Lonchura striata: one gene and its partner. The protein of the gene in region 2 purifies or fractionates together with the protein of the main gene of each other region. This does not show direct contact. Links are inferred from orthologs where the notes say so. Each region holds a gene or a part of one and is shown on either strand. Other genes may lie near its edges. The genes, in order: TMEM129 and DERL1.

The links.
Region 1: the proteins of DERL1 (region 2) and TMEM129 purify together in Homo sapiens (affinity purification with western blotting; 3 studies listed by BioGRID). This does not show direct contact. The link is inferred for Lonchura striata from reciprocal best matches to the Homo sapiens genes DERL1 and TMEM129.

What each region holds. Positions count from the first base shown.
Region 1 is NC_134606.1:7,703,999-7,711,467, forward strand, and holds the start of TMEM129 (E3 ubiquitin-protein ligase TM129), read right to left. Parts: upstream 4,537-7,469; 5' UTR 4,347-4,536; coding exon 4,142-4,346; intron 3,024-4,141; coding exon 2,549-3,023; intron 293-2,548; coding exon 133-292; intron 1-132.
Region 2 is NC_134603.1:12,681,663-12,689,131, reverse strand, and holds the start of DERL1 (derlin-1), read right to left. Parts: upstream 3,428-7,469; 5' UTR 3,236-3,427; coding exon 3,083-3,235; intron 1,157-3,082; coding exon 1,045-1,156; intron 1-1,044. Other genes in the region: TBC1D31 (TBC1 domain family member 31), read left to right, coding at 3,907-3,983, 6,266-6,412, 6,963-7,078. UniProt on the Homo sapiens protein: Functional component of endoplasmic reticulum-associated degradation (ERAD) for misfolded lumenal proteins. Forms homotetramers which encircle a large channel traversing the endoplasmic reticulum (ER) membrane.

The DNA of each region.
Region 1 (7,469 bases), on a different chromosome or scaffold from region 2:
CACAACAATACATTCTCTTAATAATTCACCGGAGATAGCCCTAGGTAAAAATTTATCATTTACACAGTAATCACAGGCTCATCTATTTTGAAAGTACAATTGTTACAGTCTCACATGGATAGAAAGTTTCACCTGAGTGCTTGGAACATGGTATGTCTGGTTTATTTCCACCAGAGATGTAAAGGTTTCTAAAAATAAATCACTAAGGCTTTGATGGATCACAACATTAGCTGCATTGCTGATAGGAGCACGGAGCTTCTCCCGGAGCTCCCCATACTCTGTGGAGTTCAACCTGAAGAAGAGAAGATGGAGCAAAATGTTACCATGATTATCCACCCAAATACCTTGATAGTACCTTGCAGAGGTTAACTGAAGTGAATCCACAGAAAAGCTGGTACTTATTAGTCAGAATAAATACACGGAATTGCATTTGTTTTCTTGTTTTCTTCTGCTGTTTACTTACTGGTTTTGGCACAACTTAGTCAACAGAACACGCTGTCCTCATTCGTATCTGTGTAAGATTGCCAGCAGGGTATGTCAGAAATCAGCTAAAACATCATACAGAAATACAGGCTTTTGAAGTAATCAGTATGAACAAAAGCAATATAGGTATATAAACCATACATTAACTGCAAAGTGCTGTTTGCACCATTCTGTCACCTTTTTAATGCCTGTTTACTTAGACAATTTCTAAATTCTCAATTATAAACTCCTGAGGAATTTAGTTAGGAGCAATTATACCATGCAGCAGGCATCACAAGGTTATACAGTACTACAGAAGTAGTAGAGGAATGACAATCAGGTTCTGTGGTTTTACAATACAGTTTTAGACTGTATCATAACATAATCCCAGAAATTTCACAAAGGTCACAAACCACTGCTGATTCAAGGCTGCAGCAAGCTGTGTTTCACACCAGCTGCTTCTGTAAATTAAATTTAAGTGATATCCACAGCACTCAAGTGGCACCTGACACCTCACACAGATCCTACAGTGATACATCCCTGCTGTCATCCCTTTTGACCATAAGAGTTCTGAACTGTAGTGTCAGAACTCTCCAGCTCAATGCTTCCACTCATTAAACAGCTTTCATGAAGTCCCTGGAAGACTGCCCTAATTTTCCTACCACTGTCCGAGTTCCCAGAGCCCAGCACAATGCAAGGCTGGCTTAGCTCTAGCTCTCGGTGGTCTCCATTGTTTTTACTGCTACAGGATAATGTCATTGAACAGATGCTGTCCATACAAATCAGAAACATTTATATCCAGAGGAATAATTCACACTGAACATGCAGAGAAATGTGGCCCACCTGCACAAAAGCATTTTTCCTCCAGAAATATCTCACTGCATTTGATTCTGATTCTGGATATATACAATGATCCTGTATGATTCTGCTACATTCTAACAGAGATTAACTATCACAGACATCTTATTAGAGCAGCTTTTAAACACTGTTCTTGATGCTATTCTGCTTAGTCACAAAATATAGTTTGGGCTTAGGACTTTTTTTCCATAAAAGGAATTGCCAAACAAGTAATTATTTTCTCAGCTGGGGTGTACTCTGGCACTGAAGTGCTTGCAGAAGAAAATCATTAGTTGTTTAATACTAATTTGGTCATCACTGTCACAGGTCTATAAGAGTCTCTTTTCTTAGTATTGTCATGCTTACCTTAAGCAACCTCTTGTTCTGAGTTCTGTTCACCTGGATCTCTACCATAATCACCTCTTTGCTTTCCTTGTGCTTGTCTCACTTGCACACCTACCTGGATGCTTTTAATTACCTAATAAATGCTCCTGACAAACAAATGTACAGCAAAAAGACACCTTTTCAAATACAGTTTTAGGAGCACTAAGATGGCTTTTAACAACACAACAACAAAGACTTTAGAACCCTTCTACTCAGAGGTTTCTGCTGAACTTGTACTTTAGCCTGGTTACACAGAGACCAATGAGATAAACAGCATAGGCCTTTGCAAAATGAGCCCTAACAGTTCACAATTGTTATGATCTACTGCTATGAGAACACGTAAGTCAGAAAGGGACCAAAATTTCTTCCTTGTTTTAGGAGCAGTTGGCTTGCAGTCACTCAGGGAGAGCACTTCTGAGCAGCGATGATATTATGACCCTTAAGCACAAGTTAAAATCCAAAGTCGTGGACAAACAACAGACAGTTTTAGACAAATAGCTATTTCTCCTCACTCAAAATTTAGAAGACCAAAAATTCTACCTTTCATTCCTCTTCTCCATCTCTGACCTAATTTTATCCAGTTACTTCTTTCTGCATCCAGCACAATCCTCTCCCTAAGAATGGATCAAAGAGGCTAATCCCTTTGTTTATCTGTTGTGTATTCAGTGTTGTACGTGTATGAAGCTTTCCAAACAACCTTCCCTGCACTTCATGGCAGAACTGCACATACAGCAGCCCTGAACACCAGGCAGGGACCAGAAAGGAAGGGATGAGACCAGGGAATCTCCAGATTGGTCACAAAAATGCTCCCTCAGCACCATCAAACAGCACACATGTAACGTAACAGGTTTAGCAGTTGTTTTACCGGATATCGAATGCCTTGATGTAGGGATTAACGCTGGCAACTCGGATGGTGAGGAACTGCACAGGCACGTTGGAGTCTGGCGTGAGCTCGTGCTGTCTGGAGTCTGTCACTGTCAAGTGAATGTCCTGCTGCTGAGCAACATGTAAACAGTAGGTGGTCACTTTAATCACCCACGTGTCCGTAACAATCACCCTCGCTCCTGGCGCTCCGGTAGCGAATTTGTCAATTCTCCTAAATTCTGTGTTGATGGAAGAAGCTACTGCCCTCCAGCCTGACTGCGGGAGGGCGTGAACAGCGAGTGTCCGGGCTAGCGGATGATTATTCCAACCTTTCCGTGACCAGTAATATGCCAGGGCACTGGTGATTGCTGGGAGGAGAGCGGCGAAGAAGAAGAAAGTTTTCCACTCTTTTGAAGCCAGGTAGAAAAAACAAAGATGTTTTTCAGGTGCAGCAAAGCACATACCAAGGTAATAACCTGCAAGGAAAAAAAAACTTACTTTCAGAAAACAATTAAGTACGTGTAAAAGCAGATACCCCTGAATCATATGGTTATCTACCCAGTGAGCTCACCTCCAGAAGAGGTATTATTGCATTTCTGGATGACTTGAAATTCAAGCCTCTGGTCGCAAGCAAGCTGAATTAAATTCTTAGGTATCAATGATTTTTACCAGAATTATATACCTGAAGGAAAGTGATCTGAATTTGGTTGTTGAATAAAATTACCTGTGAGATGCTACTTAGTTTTAGGAGACTTATATGGCTAAAGGAAGCCAATTTGCATTCCTTTGTTAAATCACAGACTCACAGAAGATGATGCACTGGAAGGGACTCACAAGGATTATCAAGTCCAACACTCAGCCTTGCACAGGACACCCCAAGAGTAACACCATGTGCATGAGAGCATTGTCCAAACACTCCTTGAACGCCAACAGGCAGGTGTGACCAAGCCCCTGGGGAGCCTGTTCAGTGCCCAGCCACCCTCTGGGGGAAGAACCTTTTTCTAATATCCAATACAAACCACCCCTGACACTGCTTCAGGCCATTCCTTGGGTCTTGTCACTGTCACCACAGAGCAGAGATCAGTGTCTGTCCCTCCTCTTCCCCTCTCAGGAATTTGTAACTGCACTGAGGTCTCCCCTCAGTCTCCTCCAGGCTGAGCAGACCAGGTGCCCTCAGCCTCTCCTCACACACCTTCCCTCAAGATCCTTCACCATCTTTGTTGCTCTCCTCTGGAAACTCTCTGATAGTTTAATGTTTTTCTGACATTGTGGCCCCCAGAGCTGCCCCAGCACTGGAGGTGAGGCCGCCCAGCCCGAGCAGAGCGGGACAATCCCCTCCCTTGCCGGGCTGGCCATGCTGGGCCTGCTGCCCCAGGACAGGGATGTCCCTCCTGGCTGCCGGGGCACTGCTGGCTCAGCTTCCACTTTCCACTGGCCAGGAGCCCCAGGTCCCTTTCCCTGGCACTGCCCTCCAGCCCCTCACTCCCCAGTCCGTACTTAAACTGCAATTCCTTTGTGAGTGCGTGTGCTGCGGTGCAGCCCGCTGGTTACCGCGCTCGGGGTGCTCACTCCAGGGGAGCCGAGCGCGACTCACCGAGGGGCAGCAGGGAGTGCGCCAGCAGCGTGCCGGTGCTGCGCCGCAGGTGGTACTGCACGAAGGCCGCGTCCTCGCTGCCCAGCCAGGCGGACAGCAGGCTCTGCACCGTCAGCCCCGCCGAGCGCACCTCGTCGGGCGGGAACACGAAGCACACGGCGAACACCAGGTAGGCCAGCGTGAAGGTCACCGCGGGGCTCTCCATGCTGCGCCCCGTGGGGCGCCGGGGTCCCCGGGAGCGGTAGTTCCCGCCGCACCCCGGATGCTCCAGCGGGGAGCGGTGCTTCCCGCCGCTCCAGCGGTAGTTCCCCCGCAGCCCCGGATGCTCCAGCGGCAGTTCCCCGGCAGCCCCGGATGCTCCAGCGGCAGCTCCCCCCGCTCCAGCGGCAGCTCCCGCCGCACCCCCGGATGCGCGGCGCGGGCGCTGCCGGGCTGGCGGGGCCGCCCGGGCGGGACCCGCCTCCCCCTGCACGGATGGTCCCCGCCCCTCCATCCATCTCCTCCCTCCCCTCCGCCCCTCCGTCCATCTCCTCCCTCCCCTCCGCCCCTCCGCGCCTGCCCGGCCCCGAGCGCCGAGCCACGTTCCCTTTCCAGCCGGAGCCGGACCTCGCCCGCACCCCGTGCCCGCCCAGCCCGGCCGGGACGCGCAGCCCCTGCCCGCGGCCCCAGGCATTGTCCGCCCTCGAGGTCATGCTCCACAGGCCTGGCAGAAGCAACCGATTCCAGTTCTTTATGCATGGAAAAGACCTCTGTTGGATGAGGGCAGCGTCTTTCTGAAGCAGAGAATGGCCTGTTTTACTTAAGCGTCGGGAAAAGCTTCTCTTTGCTTCTCCTTGTCCTTGTGTATTTTATGTAATGCTTTCTAATATTTTCTAGTAAGACAAGGATGTAGCATCTCAAAATCCCCTAAAGGGAGGCATGTTTCAAGGTATCTTCGTACACCCCCAGACACAGTAGAGGGAGAGGCCTGACTGGAATATCTTGTTCCTATTGAAGTACAAACAATAGCTAATAGCCTGTTTCTTAGGGAACCTAGGAAAACTGCATGCAGCCTGTTATAACCCAAAACGTCCACATTTCTCTCTTTTAGAGAAGGGCGAGATTGTATAACTGGAAAAACATGGCAGAGAAAGCATTATGTGATGTTATATGCTACTAATGATGGCAAACCAAGTCAATAGTAGATACCACCCATGGAGTGTGACATCCTAGCGCTGCCAGATGACTGATGTGCAGCTGCTGTGGTGGAGATCGGGAATTAATGGTGGTTTAATGACTCTTGAGGATGGTTACATAAGTAAAATCATGCTTAGATTCTGTGCATCTTATTTCATTCTAAAAGACAACCTTGTTAACAACTTTATTAACAGTAATTTCATTGTTGTTGTCTGGTGACTCAACAGTAAGGACTGTTTAAATGTGCGTGAAGTCCAGTAATAAAAAAAGGCCTGTTGAAGCATCAAGTTTTCCTTCTGTGATTTCATGCAAAAGCATGAAGCAGAACAGCTGAGACTGTAGAATCATATAGAAACGTTTGGGTTGGAAGGTACCTTAAAGCTCATCTCATTCCAATAAGGGTGTCATGGGCAAGGACACCCTCCACTAGCCCAGGTTGCTGAGAGCCCCACGCTGCCGGGGGTGGGGCAGCCTCCGCAGCCGGGGCTGTGGTGGGGACACGGGGACATTGCGCAGCCGGGGCTGTGGTGGGGACGCGGGGACATTGCGCAGCCGGGGCAGTGCGTGGGGACACGGGGACATTGCGCAGCCGGGGCTGTGGTGGGGACACGGGGACATTGCGCCGGCGGGGCTGTGGTGGGGACACGGGGACATCGCGCAGCCGGGGCTGTGGTGGGGACACGGGGACATTGCGCCGCCGGGGCAGTGCGTGGGGACACGGGGACATCGCGCCGCCGGGGCTGTGGTGGGGACGCGGGGACATCGCGCAGCCGGGGCAGTTTGTCCGGGCGGAGCCGCGCCTGCACCGCCCGCTCTGCCGCGCGGGGGCTGACTGCGCGGGGCGCAACGGTCACGCGTGGCGCTGTCCCCGCCCCCTCCCGCAGGACGCTCTCCTGATTGGCGGGCGCGCCCCGAACGCCGGTCCCTCATTGGCGGGCCGGGGCTTCCGTTGGGTTTGAAATCGTGAGGCGGCGGCGCAGGGCTGCGGTTGGCGCTGGGGGCTGCGTGCGCCGTCTCAGCCGAGCGCCCCTCGGGCTCGTCCCGGGACCCGCCGCCAGGTACGGGGGGCTTTGGGGACCCCGCTGTAAGGCGGTGTGGGGCTGGGGTGTTCAGGTTCCCCTTTGTGGGATTGGGTGCGGCGGGAGGCTCGGTGAGCCCTTTGTGACCGGGGGAGGGGAGGTTCTGGCTCTGTAAGGCAGTGTGGGCCGGGAGGGGCTGTGCCGGGGCCCTTTGTGAGATTGGAGGCTCGGGGGCCGCTCTGCGAGCCTGGGGTTGGAGGAGGGTTTGGGCACCTTTCAGTGACCCTGGAATGCTGGGCCGGGGGAGCTCTGGGGTTGCTCTGTGAGTTTGGGGGAAGGCTTGGTGACCCCTCTGGACTTGGGGTGGTTTGAATTCGGTGGGGGGGCTGGCTGAGGGCCCCTCAGCGAGCTTGGGGTGCTTGGGGAGTTTAACGACCCCTTTGCGAAATTCACGCCTGGGATGCTGTGGGACCGGGGGTACCTCCTTGTCTAGGACTTCTGTGAGCCTCAGATTAAGATATTTGGGGGCTATTTCTGTCAATTTAAGGCTGAAGAGAAGGCAGGAACTTGGGGGCAATGGCAGGAGCTCAAGGGTGGAGCTCAGGTGCTCCACCCCACTGAAGTGGGGGTGAAGATCTTGGGAGCATCTCTGTGTTTTTAGGATGCTGTGGGGTTGATGGGGAGCCTGGGATGAGTCAGGCATAAAGAGGGACTGAGGCGGGGTTGGGTTTGGTTTTTTTGGGGTTTCTTTTGGAGTTTGTTTTCTTGACTGAAAACATTTCTTGGTGCCATGATGGGCAGGGATGAGCCTCCTGAAAAGCTTTCCTTGGCCTTGCTGCTTCTCCCCTGCAGTCAGGAGAAGGTGATTATGAGAGAGTTGCTTCTCAGGAAGTGTTTATTTGTTCTGAAGTGCGATATTTGCACTAAAATAAATATATATATATACATCAGTTAAGTATGTGTCAGTTTGTATGGAAGTATTCGCAGCACGTACCAATTTGCCTTGCCATCAGCGAGTGAGCTTTATCTCTTCTACTGGAGGGGTTCAGAAGGATAATTAAGTAGAAAAATTCCATCTCTGCCTTGCATGTTCAGTGGCTTTTCAGGCATTTGAGACCACATTGGTATTTTGG
Region 2 (7,469 bases):
AGTATATCTACAAGCAGCGAGGTCTTTTATTCGGCATAATTAACCAGGAACGCTTATTACACCTACCTTTGCCCAGTCAGAACTGCCACCACTCTCATGTACTCATAAACTACTGCAGAAAATCTCAAAAGGAAACCATTTCTAACCATTAAACTAGTATTTATCTTTCACTAAGAAAATAACCAAATACAATCTGGCACCACTCCTGCTTTCCCTTACCGCTCTTCTTAAGATTTAAATGTGATTCCACAATACTCTCTGGGTGGCAGGGATCTCTTCTCTCTTGTGGGACTTCCCAACATCACCTTCCAATGCATTCCCCTTTACACCATCAGTTCTAAGACTCCATTAGAAATATACTGAAATTCTTGTTCACAAAGACTTTCAAGAGGAGTCTGGATTTGTAAATATATTAATTATTTATGTAAATTAAACCAATTTTGGTCTAGGTTTAACGAACTGAGCAGCTCAAAAGGAAGCCAGTTTTGAAGATACCTTGTACCAACAATCCCTCTGTTTGAGAGAAATGATCTATTATCTGATCTCCTTTTCTTCACTTAATTTTTCCCCTTAACTGAAAATCCTCCTAGTCCCTTAACTTTTCCACATATCTGTTAGGCAGAGGGGTAGACCTTCTCTGAGGGAGGTATCTCTCAATTCAACACAGACAACAGAATAACACAAATAAGCATCCCTATTAAAACAAGAAAAAACTGAAAGTTATTTTCTCCCAATGGATAAGCCCATTATTACATTATGCTCTATTATCCTTCTCTGATAAAAAACATCAGCTACAAAACCACAGAGGTAAACATCATCTTTTAATCTGTCTCACTTCCTTAAATCCAGCAACTAAAAACACCAGGCCCTCCTACTGAAACAAGTATCAAGTTCAGATCCAAAATGGCCAAAGGGAAGGATCCAGCCACAGAAAATCAGTTTTCAGAGCAGTTTCACGTTGACTAATATAAGCTGGCACAGAGATGAGCCATCTCTTATCAGCTCCAGGCAGACTTCACCAGGGGCATGTAATGGTCAACATACCTGTTTCTAGTCGTGATGAATATTGATACAAGAAATACAAATTCACCAAGTAGAGAAATCCCGTTCCAGGTCCCACTGGGAAGAAGAAGGTTGCTGTTATCGGCCGCCAGATCTGTCAAGATCAAAAGAGAAAGCTTTATTTACAAACTGCAGAAAGAACTCATGTTCCCAGGCTTTTTATTTACATTCATTACTTGATAATGAATGAAAACTTGAAACATCAAGAAGAAGATTAAAAATAGCCCAAGTATCGATTGGTCCTGCTTCAGCAGCTTTTCTAGTTGTGGTGTTTTTTTTCAATTTGGTAAGCAAAGCTATTAAGACTACACCAGAAATATCACACAACTGCTTTCCATCACATCTTTGCAGTAGTGACTCTTTAATGCAGTGCAAAAAAGATTCACTGGCAAGGATGCTACCATGTTAAAAAAACAGCCACACAAAATCTATTCTTCTCTGCTGAACAGAGGCCAAAGAATTCACAGCCTTTAGTGTACCATTCCAGACAGCACATGCTACTCTGAGCATATGGGATCTTCTCTGGGACAGTTCCCAGCTATGAATACTGGGCATAACCAACTGCATGGCAGCACGTAGCAAGGACAGAAAATGTCTGGTCATTCATGAATGAGCTCTTAAAGCAGCAACATTTCCAAACTGGGTATTAGGATCTTGAACATCACAGTTCAAGAAGGAATAACAGAACTAGAGGAAAAACCAGTCATTTATGCTACTAATAATACATGAATCAAGATACATAGAGAGTCATGGCTTTAATTTTTTTTCTTTCTTCAGTGAAGATATAATGAGACGAGATAACAGAAATCTAAAAATTGGAATCTTTTATCTTCTTTTGTTTTGAGCTCCTCCAATGAGTGCTCTCCCCAACACTAAACCTGTAATATCACAGTGCAAGGAAAACCACTGCATGTCTGACACCTCAGGGCATCAGTTATTAGTTTACATGGACCACATCTAAGCATAGAAGTTGTCAGACCCTAAGAGAAGCTTTTTCAAATTCCAAACCAGAATGTGTAAATGCACTTTGTTACAGAATCACAGAATACCTCACATTAAAAAGGACCACAGTGAGTGATCTGAGCCAACCTCCCTGCTCAAGCAGACATTCTTGAGCACATGACACAGGATTGCACTCAGACAGTTCTTGAATAACTCCAGCAAGGGAGATTTCACAGCCTCCCTGGTCAGTCTGTTCCAGTGCATGGCCACCCAGGTCAGGTGCAACTTCCCGTGCATCAGATTTTGCCCATTTGCATTTGTCCATCTTCTGACACTTACAGAAACTGCCGAGGTCTCCTCTCAGTCCTCTCTCCTCGCGGCTGAGCAGGCCCAGCTCCCTCAGCCATTCCTCACCAGAGATGCTCCAGTTCCTTGATCACCTTTGTTACCCCGCACTGTACCCACCCCAGGAGCTCCATGTCTCTCTTGTAGCTCTGCCAAAAAACCTCCCGGGCCAGCTGCAGTCTGGGAGATTTGCCCGAAGTTGCAGCTCCCAAAGTCACAGCCACACGAAGACACAGAGCTGGGCAAGTCACCTGCAGCCACAGCCACAGAGCTCCTAGGTAAAACAGCCAGTGCCCACCAGAACAACTCCCACAAAAACTGCAGGAAAAACCACACCAGAATGAGGCACAAGACGAACAACAGCGCTGCCAGGGCAGCCTCCCTCCTTCTGCCAGCCTGGCAGGGACGCGCAGCCCGTCCCCGCGGTGGCGGCCCTTGGGCCTGGGCCCGGATTTGCTCGGTGTTCTGCCCGCAGGCCCCGTACAGGCTGAGCGGGACGGCGGCTCCACTCTCGCCAGCGGAGCTCTGCTCACCCCCGGCCGCTGTCTCGGTGCACGGTGCCTCCAGCGCGGCCGCGGAACCGGGGCAGCGGCCGGCCCCGCGCGTAGCCCCAGCGAGGCCCCGCAGTGCGGCTGTACACTACAACTCCCAGAAGGCTGCGCGCGAAGTGTGTCATAGTGAGCTACTGTGCGGGCGCCGCGGGGCACGCCGGGAGCGGTAGTGCGGCCCTTACCTGGAAGCGGTGGATGAAGGCGTCAGGCCAGAGGAAAAGGTTGACGGGGCTGACGAGGCCCAGCTTGCCCACGAGCGGCACCGCGATGGAGCCGGCGAACCAGTAGCGCGTGATCAGAGGGATGCTTCGGAACCAGTCCCCCAGGTCCGACATGTCGCAGCCGCGCCCGGCCGCCGCCCAGGCTTCGCCACGAACCGGCCGCTGAAGAAAAGAAGAGGCGAGACGAGGACTCAGCCACTCCTGCCGCCCGCTCACGGAGGGGGCCCCGAGCCAGACGTGGCGCCACCGAATTCGGCCGAGCCGCCGCCGCTGCTTCCGGCCCCGCCCCGGCAGCGGGGGTCCCGCCCGGGGGCGGAGCGGGAGCGAGCCGGCGCTGGAGGGCGGCGGGCCGTGGGGTCAGCCGGCTTCCCTTCCCCGCAAGGCGCTTGTAATGCGGGGGCAACAGGAGGGAACCGGGAACAAGTCCTGCGCCAGCCTGAAAAACCATGTTATGAGTGACCTATTGCACTGCGTTATAAACGCACTTGCCTGCGAGGACGCGGCGTTTTTACTGCATTGCCCGGCGCTGGCCGCGCTCCGCTCTCCCGTCCCCACCCAGGTCGCTGCGCGACGCCCGCGAGGGAAACTACAACTCCCAGCAGCCCGCGAGGCCGCAGGTGGAGCGGTTCCATTCCCTGATGTCTGGGGGGGGAGCACTCGCCACCCTTCCGGCTCTTCCCCATTGGTGAAGCGGGAGCGGGCTGTACCACGCGAGCGGCGCCCCCCCGGCGCGGAGCGTGGGCGGAGCCCTGCTGGCAGCGCGGGAGCGGCGGCGCCGGGCGGGGATGGAGCGCTGCGATGTGGGCGAGCGGCGGCGCGGGCCCATCTGGACCCGCCGGGCGGCGGCGGCCGCAGCGCGGGGGTAACGGGGCCGGGCCGGGGGGAGCGGCTGCCCGAGAGGAGCGGGCGGGCGGGCAGGGCCGGCCCGGGCCCACCCGAGCCTCTGCGGGCGGGGGAAGGGGCACCCGGGGTACCCGGTTACATAACGAAAGGAGCACGTTCCCCTGGAGTGGCGGAATCACTGCGGTTGGATGGGGCCTCTGGAGATCTGCCAAGGCAGGGTCACCTAGAGCAGCTTCCATAGGAGCGCGTCCAGGCGGGCTTGGAATGGCTCCAGAGAGGGACACTCCACGACCGCCCTGGGCAGCCTCTTTGGTGCCCTGCCATCCTCAGCGTGAAGTTCTTCCTCCTGCTGAGGTGAAACTTTTGTGTTTTCGTTTAAGGCCATTGCTCCTCCTCCTGTCGCTGGGCACCACCGAAAAGAGTCTGGCACCGATCTCTTGGCAGCGCCTTTGTGATACTTCCATGTATTAATGAGATCCCTCTTGAAGGCGGAGCAGGTCCCCAAGGAGGCTGTGAAACCCCCGCGCTCAGGCTGCGCAGCTTGGCTGGACACTTACCCTAGTTGTTTAGGCGTATTGGATAAAATGCCATGGAGAATTCAAAGAGATTAATCGCAGTGTGGTATGCTGTGTAAATACTGCCTGGTCTAAGCTGAAGAGCAGCGACACAAATGATGCTTTGGAGGTCTCTGTCCCCAGAGGCCCCGTGAACTCCTAACTCTGTTCTCCTGGCTTAGTATAGGTGCAGGGAAACTTTTGAGAGGCAGAGAGTGATGTTGAGAAGGTCTTGGGAGGTGCTGTAGCTGCAGGGATAAGTACTTGTGTTTCAGAGTAGTTTTAGAAGCAGAAGTCATACTAATTTGTCAGGATCTTTAATGTCATAATCCCACACAAACATCACTAGATTTCAATTACACTTTAAAATATTTTATCTTTCCGATTTCATTTTTATGGCCCTTTTGTTGAAGAAAACAATGGGCTTAACAGTGAGGTACAATTAGTTTTATCTCTAGTCTGCACCATAGTTATGTGTCTCAGAGAACTATCAGCATCTCATGCAACCATGGTCAGAGCATTCTGAGTAGCATATTCTGTGCCTCAGAGAGCTATCAGCATCTCATGCAACCATGGTCAGAGCATTCTGCAAGTGCTCTGCAGTCTTTAATCAGCCTGCCAATATCTGGCACACTTTTGGTGTTTAGTTTAACTGTGAATTCACATCCAAGTGATAATACAAAATGATTGGGCTGTTCAGTGGTAGGCAATAAATCCAGGAATAGTAGATCTTCCAAATCTCGATGTCCTGCTTCCTGGAAAAACCTTCCTCTTACAGCTCATTTCTGCATCTGGCTCTGTTTGTGTGGACAGTACCTTATAAGGATAGAAGTGGAAAACTAGAAAATTCTGTTCTGTAATAGCACAGATGAATAGTAATAAAAAAGGCTTTATTCATAGAATTGTAGAATGGTTTGGAGTGGAAAGGGCCTCAAAGGTCATCTAGTTGCAAGCCCCCTGCCATGGACACCTTCCACTGGACCAGGCTGCTCAGAACACCATCCAGCCTGGCCTTGAGCACTTCAAAGGATGGAGTATCCAGAACTTCTCTAGGGAGCCTGATTATCTCACCCTCACAGTAAACAATTTTTTCCTAATGTCTAATGTAAAATGTAAACCTACTCTCTTGCAGTTTGAAGCCATTCATCCTTGTCATGCCATTCCAGGCCTTTGTAAAAAGTCTCCACCTTTCTTGTAGGCTCCTTTCAGGTACTGGAAGGCCACAATTAGGTCACCTCAGAGCCTTCTCTTTTCCAGGCTAAACAATCCAAATACTTTCTAAGACTGTGAAAAGAAGTGATATTAAAACTGATTTTCCCCATATCTAAACAGACTGGTTTCTTACAGTACTGCACAGCTTCTCAGTTTTCTAGAACGTTTCTTTGCAGTGGTAATGATGAGCCAGGTTCCTTCCTGAGGGTTGAATTGGGCTTTCAGATACATCAGTGTTATTCATTAATGATGGAAATTGGGCAATCAGAAACCACGTGAAAGGATTGTGAATGGTGAACTTCCCCCATCTGCTTTACATATCTCCTACCCACCTTCCAGCCCAGTGAATTACTTCCTTTGTAGCATACTTTTCATATAGAAACACATGGGTTTCATGGGAGATCTTTCATAGAACATGGAAAATCGGAATTGTAAAATCCTAAGATAGGATTAAAATGTTTCTATGTCTTGCAGATATAAATGGTAATAAAATTATTCTAAGCATGGTTGTTTTGCTGGTTGTTTTTCTTTACAGAGTTATAGTGAACATAATTCACAGTGTCCAGGGGTACCATTCAAAGACAATACATTTTCTGAATGTGGTTTTTGACAGTTCTGGGGATTCTCTCCTCGCTGGAGACCGCCAAGGGAATATATATGTTTTTGACTTGAATGGGAACAGGTAAGAATATTTCTATTATGACTTTTTAATTGTCTGAGACATCTGTACCATTCAGGTGTGTGGAACTTGCCTGAACAGGTTCCCATGGGTCAGGTTTTAACTAAATATTTTGAAATAGGTAATAGTTTGCTCAGGGCCGAAACCTCAACCCACTGTCTCATGTAGGCTCCCTATATGTTATTTCATTAGTTTAGCTGCTCAAAAAGATCAGAGGCTTGCAACTGTAAAAAGAGCAGTGGTGCCTTAGAACTTAAGGACTACCACCAGAAGTTATTATTGGACCAGTACAGGTCAATGAGTTACAATAGACTAGACCTAGTCTACTGGTTGATGCAGAAATGCATCAACCAGACTTTCAGCATTTTATTAGTGTTTTAAAATCCTAGCACTCATTTTTAGATCTACTATAATTAGATATTATTTCCTTCCTTCTTTTGCTTTTATTTTTTTCTCTCTGTGAAATATATTGAAACCAATTAATTTATTACTTCACTTGACATTAAATGAACCAAAGTTTCCTAACACAATGAGAATGTGTATTTTTAAATAGGTTCAACCTTGTTCAGAGAACAATGCAGGCTTGCACTGCTTTGGCCTTTAATCTTCGCAGAAAGACAGAGTTCCTTGTGGCTTTGGCAGATTATTCCATTAAGTGCTTTGATACAGGTAAGGAGAAATTTCAAGGCTTAAATGCTATCTGTATTGGCATGAAAACGTATATAATTTTAGTTTTGACCTTAATTTTTTGGACAGTTTGTTTTATAGAAATTATACTATGTATTTCATGCCATCTGTCTAAAAAGAAAAGTTTGGGCCCATGTTTGTTATAGTCCTTCGGTGAATGAACCCTTTGCTTTGTCAAAGTTCTTTATTCTCACTGAGTCACACAGGCATTTGTTTGACTGAAGTACACCACAGAATTGTAGTTAGGTATGTTAATTTTCTTAAAGCAGTTTTTTATATGTTTACTTAGAATGAAGTACTGTATTAAAATAAAGCCAAAACCAGTTGAAAAGCAATATTAAAAATGAAATTACAGCTGCATGTCTCTGTCTTG